2 linked regions of the Cricetulus griseus genome follow. The protein of the gene in region 1 interacts with the protein of each later gene in a pairwise test. Links are inferred from orthologs where the notes say so. Each region holds a gene or a part of one and is shown on either strand. Other genes may lie near its edges.

What was found. The genes of interacting proteins can lie anywhere in the genome.
Region 2: the proteins of Ddx58 (region 1) and Mavs interact in binary tests that used the Homo sapiens proteins (3 or more experiments, as listed by UniProt). The link is inferred for Cricetulus griseus from reciprocal best matches to the Homo sapiens genes RIGI and MAVS.

Annotation. Positions count from the first base shown.
Region 1 is NC_048595.1:102,329,487-102,335,174, reverse strand, and holds part of Ddx58 (antiviral innate immune response receptor RIG-I), read right to left. Parts: intron 5,320-5,688; coding exon 5,138-5,319; intron 4,722-5,137; exon of another isoform or gene 4,621-4,721; intron 4,115-4,620; coding exon 3,967-4,114; intron 2,851-3,966; coding exon 2,728-2,850; intron 1,020-2,727; coding exon 912-1,019; intron 550-911; coding exon 396-549; intron 1-395.
Region 2 is NC_048599.1:47,336,626-47,342,909, forward strand, and holds the start of Mavs (mitochondrial antiviral-signaling protein), read right to left. Parts: upstream 4,089-6,284; 5' UTR 3,948-4,088; intron 3,905-3,947; exon of another isoform or gene 3,717-3,904; intron 1-3,716.

The DNA of each region.
Region 1 (5,688 bases):
CTAATGCACATAAAATAAAAGTGATCCCAGCATTTAGAATGTAAAAGCAAGAAGTTCATATCTTCTAGGTCAACCTCAGCTACACAGTGAGTTGGAAGATGGCTCTGGCTACATGAAATCTTGTCTCAGAAAAGAAAAAAAAAAAAAAAGCAAAGCAAAAAAAAAGGTAGAATTAGCCAGGCATTGGTGGAGCATACCTTTAATCCCAGCACTCTGGAGGCAGAGGCAGGTGGATCTCTGTGAGTTCAAGGCCAGCCTGGTTTACAAGAGCTAGTTCCAGGACAGCCTCCAAAGCTACACAGAGAAACCCTGTCTCAAAAAACAAAAACAAACAAACAAACAAAAAGCTAGAATTAAAAAAAGAAAAAAGCAGTTAGACTGATTGTAATACATACCCAAGTCTTTCAAAATGGCGTGAGAACACAGTTTCCTGCTGTTCGTAGACAGGAATTTGATTAGCAAAAAAGACCACTTTCCCCTTTTGTCCATGTGGGAAGCTTCTAAGATGATGTTCACATATAAGAAGTGACACAAAGGTTTTCCCACAACCTTGTAATATGGAAGGAAAAAGAACAGGTAACCAATGTTAGATGTTTCTCTAGTATGTATTTATTTTTGGCTTCTCTATCACCACTGGGATACAAATAAAGACAGCAACAGTTTAAACAATGGCTAAAAACTATCAAGCTACTTCCTAGGTAGCATGAACTCAAGTAGTAAGAACCAAAGGCAAACTAAGAGGGCATTTCTCTTTCATTGTCCATGTTCCTTAAAATGACACATTATATTGATAGGACAGCTCACCCAGTGGCAAATGCAAGAGGGAAAAAAACTTGAACTTCTTCATTTTATCACAGTAACCAAAAATAGAAGAAAAGAGAAAATTTTATAAGTTACGGTAACCGACTCACCAGTAGGAGCACATATTATGGTATTTTTCCCTTTCTGTGCAGGCAGAGCAAGCTCCAGTTGATAATTCCTTGGTTTCAATGAGCTGTGCAAATTATTACAAGATTCGTCTACAATATAGAAGGAACAAAGTTACCAAATGGCTAGTGTGCTAACTGCAGTTGGGTGGACATGAGTTCTGTCTCTAGCAACAAGGGCCCCATTTAGGAGATTTGGAATCTTGCCTGTTATTATTTGTCCCATTCCCCCCCCCTTGATTTGAAGCACACACTTGTCTCTCAGTGATAAAGTATCTATAACAAGGATACAGGAACGGCCAAAGTGAATTCTTTCTTAATCATAGAAACTTGATTAAGAAAAAAGGAAAGTAAGAATGGTTTAATTCGGGGCTGGAGAGATGGCTCAGCGGTTAAGAGCACTGACTGTTCTTCCAGAGGTCCTGAGTTCAATTCCCAGCAACCACATGGTGGCTCACAACCACCTTGAATGAGATCTAGTGCCTTCTGTTGGCATGCAGGCAGATGGCTGTATACAAAATAAATAAATAAATAAATAAATAAATAAACAAATAAAATCTTAAAACAAAAAAGTATGGTTTAATTCAAAGCAAAGTTACTCAGAACAAAGTAAGAACAGACACCAAAGACAACTGAAAAGAACCAGGCTGCTGGCATCAGGTTCTCCAAGCAACTTTAGCAAGGAGGAGCCATGCTGTATGTTCCTCAGGATCCCAGATGGCTCAGCACAACCCATCTAGGATCTGAGGCGTCGTGTCAGTAACAGGTCAGCATACAAAAGGTCAAGAGACAGAGCAGACTGCAATCACCTCATTGTCTAATCTTCCCACTGTAAAGAAAGAGAACTTCCAGAAGGTTGAGACAAAATAGCTTTGCTTAAGATGTGTATGGATCACTGTGTGTCTGAAACATTAGTACTGCGTCACTCTGGAATGGCAGAAACCTTGCGACATTCATTTCATATATTTGTAAGGCATCTTTTTTTAAATGATGTTCTAAAAAATTACGTTGTTCTTTTAACACTATTCATTATTCATCTTATTTCCTTCCTGATACATTTTGTTATAAATACGTTATTGTATATCTTACAACCTTCTGGTCTCTTCATGATGAAGATGTATTTCAAGGAGCATTAGAGAGGGGCCTCGTCCAGCCATAGCTAACTTTCACAGAACCATGAATATGAGAACAAGTTGATTTGAACCCTCCACACAGAGGCTAGCAGAGAGAGCGCACAACCCACTCATCCACTTGTGTGGCAGCCCTGGGATCCTGGAAGGAGACCGAGCAAATGGCTCATAAACAGAAGTATTCTTTTAGACAACAAGGTTGCTTGGGATGTTACAGACAGTGAAGTTCTGGGAACACTACATCAGAGCAAGACTTGGACATACATGTGCATGAGTGAAAGGCAGATAAAAGCAGCTGAGGCTAACAAAGATAGGAAGGAACAGTGATTCTAATTATGAAGTCTATTGTCACACAAATTCTCTTTTGTTTCCTAATCATCCGTTAAAAGGACTTTAGTGCTGGAGATAGAACATTATGGAAAAGAGCCGGGCGTTGGTGGCACACACCTTTAATCCCAGCACTCAGGAGGCAGAGGCAGGTGGATCTCTGGGAGTTCGAGACCAGCCTGGTCTACAAGAGCTAGTTCCAGGACAGCCTCCAAAGCCATAGAGAAACCCCGTCTGGGGGGGGGGGACAATAACAATAACAATAACAACAAAAAAAGGCCATTATGGAAAAAGAACAAGTGATGCCCAGGCAAGGATTCTGAGAACAAATGAGGCCCGGGTACCTGATGGTAGGCAGGGATTCTGACTGAGAACCTGGCATTCTGGCTCCTCCTGTATGAAAATCTGTATGCTGGATATCTCCATTCCATCATCTTCAACAGCTTTACTTTCAAGCCCTTTGAAACCTTTGTGAGATAAAAAAAAAACCTTAGAATCTTAATGTAATCTGACTGTGGATTTAGTTATGAAAATCCCCAAAAGTCCTAACACTAAAAATCTAAATTTCCATTGAGTGCTTACAACCATGCCCTTTCACTTTCTTAACATTTTGTTTAAATTCTTTTGTTTATTAGCTAATTTATTGTGTGTGTCACTCATGACACAAGGAGAGTATGGAGGGCAGAAGACAATTTTTGGAAACTGGTTCTCTGTATCCTGTAGGTCCTAGAGGTTGAACTCAGGTCTTCAGGTTCCATGACAGGGAGGAGCCTTCATCTGCTGAGCCATCTCACTGTCCCCCTTTAATTTCTTAAAGTAACGGGAAGAATCATTTTTAGTTTGAAGTTCAACTTGGTGTTTGAATGCCAGTGTCATTTAGAACCATGTGACTCCAAGTGTGGAATGTGTCACTTATGAGCAGTATGCATCGTGAGCCCCTCCCCTCTTGGTAGCTCGTGTCAATCACACTCAGAAAGAGATTCTTTCCTAGGCACACAAAAGAGACACTCATGGCTTTTGTCTCTGGCTAATCCCTCGCCAAAGACATAGACAGTTCTACAAGAATTTATGTTCTAAAGAAACCTAGGTGAAAACTAAAGCTAGAAACTCAGGTATTTGTCATACTCAGATTTAAAGCAAGAGTGAGTTTCCAGAAGCCAAATAAGATTGGCTTAATCACAGGGAATTTTCATTCACTCCTGCTCTGTTGGTTCCAGCTGGCTTCCAGGCAAGAGAACCAATCAACATCTATCATTCTCAATATCCAACCTCTACTCTGGCAGGGAGAGAAGTCTGGCAATTTGAGCCTTTAGGTCTGGAATTCTCAAGCTATTTCTCTGATAACTTAAGTTTGGGCTGGAAGCTCTTTTTTTTTTTTTTCTTCCCCAGAATCTTTGGGCTGTGTAGGCTAATTCCCTCCCAGAACTCAGCTTCCTGGTACTTGTTCCCTAAGGACCCAGCCTTGGTTATCTGAAGGGAATAGAGTCTTTCATGAAAAGTAATCTCTGGGTGAATGTGGCAAGTCCCATGGTGAATGGTGAGGGGCACAGCGTGGTCCAGGGCTCTTTCTTGAAGCAGCTCACCTTCATCGACAATCCACAGTTCACTGAACTTGTTGTCTTCTTTCTCCAAAGCAAATTTCAAAACCTTGGGCCAGTTCTCTTTATCAGATCTGAGAAGACATTCAACCATCTTCTCTGCGCCTGCCATCATGCCTTTTGTGAAGCAGATCTGAGTGAGACAAATGCAGCATATTGACCAATTAGCTCAGCTTTCACCGAAGAAATGTCTACTCAAGTAGCATCTGATCAAAATCACTGTGAAGTATATAGTTCAGTAGGTCTTAGCATCATGTTTACCCTGCCTAGCACTAGCATTTAAGATATTCTTTCCTTCACCTTTGTCCTTTATATGTTATATGCGATATCAATATGCCAAGCTAAATGTTCTCATCTGAATCCTTACATCTGTTACCATCAGCAATCCCAGGGCAAAAGCTAACCCATATGATAACCATTCACAATAAGGATATATTAGCATACAGAGCGATTATGAAGACTCTAACAGCACAACAGTAGATTTTTTCAGAGTGGGTATTCTATGACTTTTATTTCTAATGATAACTAAAATGTACTGTGTATGTATTATCATGCATCAAGCTGACAATAAGCACTGTATCTGTATTACCTCATTTAAGCCTACCAGCATGTTAATAAGGTTCATTTTTCTTACTTTAGACATGAAAAACCAGATCCTTAGAGAAGCTAAATGAATTGCCCAGGATCGCATCACTAGTTCAGTGATTTAGAGACTATAATAAATGTATCTATGTCCAAGAGCCTAGCAATGTTCTTTTCGTTTGTTGTACTGTTCAATGTGATTTGCATGTACATAAAACACTATTGAGAGAAAAAGTAACAGGGCAACTTTAACTGAAAATAGGTTATACTTCAAAAGTCTAGCATAAAAATGACCACATTTGGAAGCCTTACCCTCTCTGTAGAGCAGATGGTGGGAGAGGGGAGTGGGGGAAGTGGGAGGAGAGGGGAAATGGGATTGGAATGTAAAAAATAAATTTATAAAAAAATGACCCCGTTCACATTAAAAATTCTTTTCTAGTCATTATGTCTTCTAAATGAGGGCTTTGATGGGTTTCAATTACCCTTTGAGGGCCTAAAAACAATACAGAATACAGAGACCATTTCCAAGAGTCTCAGCATTTTTCTCTAAATTTAGTCCTTTGCGTTAATTTACCTGTCTGATTTCTTCACATTCCTGATTAATTAAGCATTCAGACATTTCAGAAAGAATATCTGTTGGGTTAATTCTGGCCTTAAATTCTGGCTGTAGACGTCGTAAAAGTAATCTGTGTTCCTCTAACTTTTCAATTTTTTGGAAATCCCAATTTTCAATGGCCTCATGAAGTCCACAGTAACCTGAAAAGAAAAGAAAATAGGGATTTCTTAAATGAGCCCAACATAAAACGCTTTGACATCAAAACCATAGGAATACTGTTTGAATCTATGGGAAGAGTCCTCAAAACCAACTGCAAATGGCCTCAGCTTCTGTAGTCTGCAGAGCAGCCCAGGGGGGCTGATAGGCTGAAGGCTGAGTCCCCAGTAGGGGGTGTCTTTAGAAGTGACTGCACCATGCCAGCACTGGTTCCATCACCGTTAGCACATCGAGTTCATACAGAAGGAGCGATTGAAAACTGTGGCCTCGCTGGTAAGTTACTCACTGGCGATGCACTCTGAGGATGCATCGTGCCCCTGGCTCCTTCCAGTTGCAGTTTGCATCCTGCATCC
Region 2 (6,284 bases), on another chromosome or scaffold:
ATGCGAGCCCACTAGTTTGCCATATATACATACACATGTTCTCATGGGAGAAAACTGAGTTCACTACACTGAAGTCACTTTATGACTCAGGGCAAATTACCAGCCCTTTCCATAAAATGGCTCAGAGAGGGGCTGGAGAGATGGTTGAGTGGTTTAATGGAAAAGCACATTTACTTGAGAACACTAATAAAAAGGTGGTTTAGAGCAGTGGTTCTCAACCTTCCTATCGATCCAACCCTTTAATACAGTTCCTCACATTATGGTGACCCCCAACCATAAAATTATTTTTGTTGCTACTTCGTAACTTCGATTTTACTACTTTTATGAATCATAATGTAAATACCTATGTTTTCTGATGGTCTTAGGTGACCCCTGTGAATGGGTTATTAGGAGAACCACTGGTTTAGATGGGTTAGTAGTGGAAAAGAACACTCATTGCTTTTCCAGAGCTCCCATATCTAGTGGCTCAAAACTGCCCATAATTCTAGTTCTAGACAAACCTGACTCTGTCTTCTAGCCTACACACATTTGATACACTCAGACAGATGTACACATAAGTTTTAAAAAAATCTTTTAAAAAATGTTTTAGAGAGCTTGTGCAACACAGTAGTTCAGGCAGGTAAGCTTAAATTTAAATACACACACTCACTCACGTTTTTTTGAGACAGGATTTCTCAGTGTAACAGCCTTGGCTGTTCTGGAATTCACTGTGTAGGCCACACTGGCCTTGAACTCACAGAGATCCACCATCTCTGCCTCCTGAATGCTAGGACTAAAGGAGTGTGCCACCACTGCCTGGCCAAATTTTTTTTTCTGAGACAGGATTCTCTGTGTAGCTTTGGAGCCTGTCCTGGCACTAGATCTGTAGACCAGGTTGGCCTTGAATTCACAGAGATCAGCCTGCCTCTGCCTCCCAAGTGCTGGGATTAAAGGCATGCACCACCAACGCCTGGCTCTGGCCAAATTTTTTAAATATTTACTTTTCAAATTGTTTATGTGTATGAGTGTTTTGCCTGCCTGTATGTTTTCACACCACTTTCGAGTTTGGTGCCCATGGAGGCCAGGTGGTGGCATCATATTCCCCTAGAACTGGAGTTACAGACAGTTGTGAATGGCCATGCGGATGCTGGGAATGAAACCCAGGTCCTGTGGAAAAATAGTCAGTATTCTTACAACTGAGCTGCCTCTCCAGCCCCAAGATTTATTTATAATTTATACGCATGGGCATTCTGCCCACATGTATGTCTGTGCATGGAGTTCCTACAGAGGCCAGCAAATGACATCCAATCCCCTGGAACTGAGTTACAAATGGTTGTGAGATGTCATGTGGGTACTGGGACTCAAACCCATTATCCTCTGGAATAGCAGCCAGTGTTCTTAACCACCGAGCCTTCTCTCTGGCTCCCTTAAGCTTAATTTTTTTAATGGGCCACTTTTAAATGCCCATCCATTTTATTACTGTATGTGTAAGACGGTTGTGTGAATGTGTGCACATGTCACAAGCACAGTATGAAAAATAAGAGGACAGCTTTTGTAAGTTGATTCTCTCTTTCCACTTTGGGTTCCAGGGCTTGATCTCAGCCATCGGGCCTACACAGCAAACTCTTTTACCTGCTGAGCCCTTTCACCAGCCCTAAATGTAAGCTTTTAAAGTGCCTGAAATGCAAGCAAGCATTACTTATGCAGCACCACAATCTGCAACTACACATGTTTGTTTACTTGTCTCTTATTTGCCCTCCCCGTCAGGGCTAAGAAAGACAAGGTCACTGTGCCCTCCACATCCAATTTATATACTATTGGAGTGGAACTGGTCACAGATCTGTCAGCACATACCTAGACGGCAAGTCCAGAAAGTAATTCTGATTATGAAGATAGTAAAATGAGACAATGGGACAGAACTCCAGGAGGAAATACCCGGGCAGAAGGCAAACCAGATGCAAAAGTCCTAAGATGTGTGTTTCTCTTCAAACACCCAAAGTTCTAAGAGCTTGTTGTATTTGAAGAGAAAGTAGGTGAGTGAAGAGGTTTGGAAAGCTTAGAGGGGTGGAGGCCAAGGTCAAAGAGATTAGCTTGTAAGGTGTTGTGGGAAGGACTTTTCGGGTTTTATTTGGTGTGAAACGGGGGAATCAATGGGAAGCAGAAGCGCTGACTTGCACTGCAGAATTCTCCGGAGGTTCTAAGGCCTTTGAGAAGCCAGCATAGAAGGAAGGTGACAAGTCAAGAGACCAAGAGGGGGAACGATGCTGGTGTGGCCAGTATGGAAACCACAGAGGTGGGGATGGGCAGCTATATTCCTGGCGCTCTGTGCACACGGGAGGTGGGGAAAAGAATCTAACATTGTTTCTTGGGAGCTGGTGCAAGGAAGGTGCCATTTACTACACTAGGGAAGTCAGGGAGAAGCCATAGAAAGGCAGTGCTTCAGAGCTCCATTTTGACAAGTTTAATTTGTTGGATTCCAAGAGTATTGTTCAAAAGAGAGGAAGAAAGTGGGAGAAGAGAGAACCAAGTGCTCTTGTTTGAAATACAAGGCCCCTGGGAGACAGTGTAGCTGCTGCAGGGGCAGGGCCCTGATACATGGAAGATGAAGTACCTGGCCTGCCTAGTGACCTCAGCCCCGTGTTATCTGCTGCGAACTACCAAATGCTACATTCCTGTGGAGAGCTACAGATGGAAGGTCGGGAGGTGAGGGAGGTAAGATTAGGGTCTGTTGGGCCTTCAAGTGATGGAAAAGAATAGCTCTGTGGCGGACAGGCTGATGAAACCTCCCCCCTTCTTGCCCAGATCACCTAGAAAGATGAGATGACAGAGTCAAATTAGCGTTTTTTTCTTCGGTCCAGCCACAGCACTGAATGTACAGATGCCGGTATGTAGCCCCACCAAAAGCTAAGAAAGTTCACAGTTGTTCATTTCTTTAAGGTTCATTGTTACCAAGGGCATCCTAAGTTTCTTCAGTTAGTCCTTTGACACAATCATGAGCAAGAAGGAAGTGACACTATGCTACACTACTGACAGTGTGGGATTTGAACCCAGACTTCTTTTGCCCCCGTGGACTAACAGAGCATAGAGGCCCCTGCAGCAGGAGAGCCACAAAGTCTGTCTTTACGCCAAGGTCGCTCACTGCCTGTGGGTGGGACTACAGGGTGAGAAGATGCAGCATTTAGGCTCTTGGAAAACATAAAAATCTCTCAGACACAGCTCGCGTTAATGCCGCTCTCAGCCCTCACTGACATTGGCTTGAGTTCTGAGATCAAGGCCGAATGCCCTTAAAGTTTTTGAAGCTTCACAGTATCCAAAGAACTTTTTTTTTTTTTTTTTTTGCTTTCCTTTGTTTTCCTCCTTTTCCTCAAACTTCTTTCCCATCTCAGAGAAAAGGAGATAGATGGCAAGGGTGTCTCGGACACAGCAAAGCTTCTGATCGGGTCACGGAAAGAAATATCGACACTCCCGAGGGACAGGTCTCCTGACCTCAAACTAGATTAACTGGCAGGACCCAGGTCTCCAAGTGCAGGGAGGCTGTTTTGAACAGGTGTCGCTACCCACAGCTGTCACACCCAGGATCGGGCGGCAGTCCGGACTGACAGACCTACTCTGTGAAGCGACTGCCACAGGTCGTTGCGCGCGGTCAGGCCTCGCGGGAGTCACCGGGGCCAGGGAGAGGCAGGAGGCACTCCGCGGTTTTTCCTATCCAGCCCGGGCAAACGCTCTGCACCACCTACCTGCTCGCTAAGGGTGCTGGATGCGGCTCGAGGAACTCCCAGGGTTCGGAATCCGTGTGGGACCGGCCGCACCCTCCCATAATCAGGTCAGGAGCCTCCCCGACCCCGCGTGCCCAGGCCCCGGCGATCCTGCGGACTCCGAGACGCACTGGGCTCCGTCCAAGGCCCCCTCCCTGAAGGGCGTTGGGGAGCACGGAGTCCTGAGAACCCACTCCCAGGCTGCGAACTTACCAAGAGGAAACCAGAGTAGGCAACAGGTTGACCTGCAAGCGACCGTGCAGAACCCTCCCAGATGAAGAGGGCGGGGCGGGCGGCGGGGCGAGCAGCGCGGCCATTGGCCAAGGAGTAAGGAGGAGGGAGGAGCGGAACCGGAATCTCGGTCATTGGCTGGGCCGGGCCTGGACGGGATGGGTCGGAAGCATGGCAAGAAGGACGTGGACCGAGGAGAGCCGATCGTGGGGCCATTGGATGAGCCCCGAGTTTCGTGAGCCTCTGGTCTAGCTGCTAGTGCTCGGTAGGCCTTGTTTGGGGGCAGTTCTGGTTCCCTGCAGAGACATGAAGGAGCAGATTGTTTTCTCGCTGCTTGGTCTGGAGCAGTTTCCAGAGGAAGTCCAGAAGCCCTGAAAACTGGCCTTCTTGGACTCCCAAGCAACTCAAGCAAAGCAGCTCTTTTAGCCAACTGCTGGAGGGGAGAGGGTCTATAGTGCCCGGCAAGAAGTGCTCCATAAAGGTGGGGTGTCAGGCAAATGCCACAGGGGTGTGAATGCCTAGCCAGGCGACACGAGCAGACACAGTGGGAATATGGTGCAGCAAAACTTGGAAGTATGCACCCATGTCTGGCGGTAATTCCATGTCTGGAATTACAGGGTGACCTACACCTCTGATCTCCACTGGCACCTGTATTCACTGTACACACACCAAGGCAATTAAAACTAAGATTAAAATCTCCTTTTAAACCACATCCACTAGAAAAGTTCTAGTGGTTTGATTATGAAACCAATTCAAGTGTCCGTCAGTAAAATAAATGGGCAGACTGTGATTAGTACACAGCAGTAAAAGATCACGTAACAGGAATAAGATCTCACCATACTGGACTAGGTGGCATTGCTAAATAGGTGCTCTGCTAACGGAGACAAAATGCTTTCTGCTTCCAGTCAAATGTTTCAACAAGAAGTAAAAAGCTAATGTACTAAAAAAGAAATCATATTAGTTACCTCAGCACGCCTAGAGGGTAGAAATGTCCTAGAGCCTGATGTAGGTGGTGAGTACACAGCTTGAATATATGTAAAAATGTATCAATCAGCAAGGGCTGGTGAGATGGCTTAGCAGGTAAAGTCACTTGCTGCCAAGCTTGAGGATCTTTGTGTGGTTCCTTTAATTTACACGAGGGAAGGATAGTCGATTCCCAAAAGCATTGGTATCTACCTCCCCCCATAAATATAAAACATGAAATATTTTGAAAAATGCATCAATGATATACTTAATGTTATACTTTCCTATCTAGCACAGTTTTTTTTTTTTTTTTTTTTTTTTTTTAGAGAAGGCTAAGGGATTCCGTGGAGATCACTGAGGTTAGAACTGCTGCCAAACAGAATTAGTTATGTGACAGAGATTCTGGAACTCTTTGAGATTGTATTACTGTTGGTCTTAGGGTTCCTAGTGCTGTGAAGAGACATTATGATCACGGCAATTTAACTGAGGGCTGGCTCACAGTTCAGAGGTTTAGTTCAGCATGGCAGGAAACATGGCAGAGTGCAGGCAGACATGGTGCTGGAGAGAGAGGCTGAGAGTTCTTTCTACATCTGGATCTTTGGGCAGCTGAAAGGGAGAGTGAGCCACTTGGCCTAGGCTGAGCTTCTGAAACCCAAAGCCCATCACTGGTGACACACTTTCTTCAGCAGGGCCACACCTCCTAATAGTGGCACTCCCAGTGAGCCTATGGGGGCCATTTTCATTCAAGTCACCACACTGTTCTTGGTAGTTGTGTAGATAGTTCACAACTTTCAGGGTGTACAAATCACACATAAGTTTGATCCCTGGGACAACATGGTGGAAGAACTCCTGAAAACTGTCTTCTGATCTCCACAATTATCTGTCCCCCTGACTGCAAAACAAATTTGAAAATGTCAAAAGCAATTTTTTTAAGTAAGTATTGGTGATTTAGTCTTGCTGCAAACCACCATGACTCTTATTTAATGCTTGCAAAAAGAGCATCAGGCCTGTGGGGACTGGCTTTCTAAATGTGGTTATAGTTAGCCCTGTCCTTGCTGGGCTTCGAAGGGCATTGAAACAATCCGGCTTCCTGACCTGCCTGGTTCCCAATCACCTGTCAACAGCTCTTTAAATTCTAGAAAAGGGACAGTGGTCATGCCTCTGGCATTCTGAGCTCCATTGGCCATATTTCAAATGTGAAATTCATCTGCATGTTGGCCATTGAGATACAGAACATTTCTATCTTAGAAAATTCTATTGGATAGCACTGGTCTACAGAATAACTTTAAAAATGTTAAAGTCATTCTCTTTCCTCCGTTACTCTGAGGAGGCAGACAGGTCTCTGTGTCCTCTCTC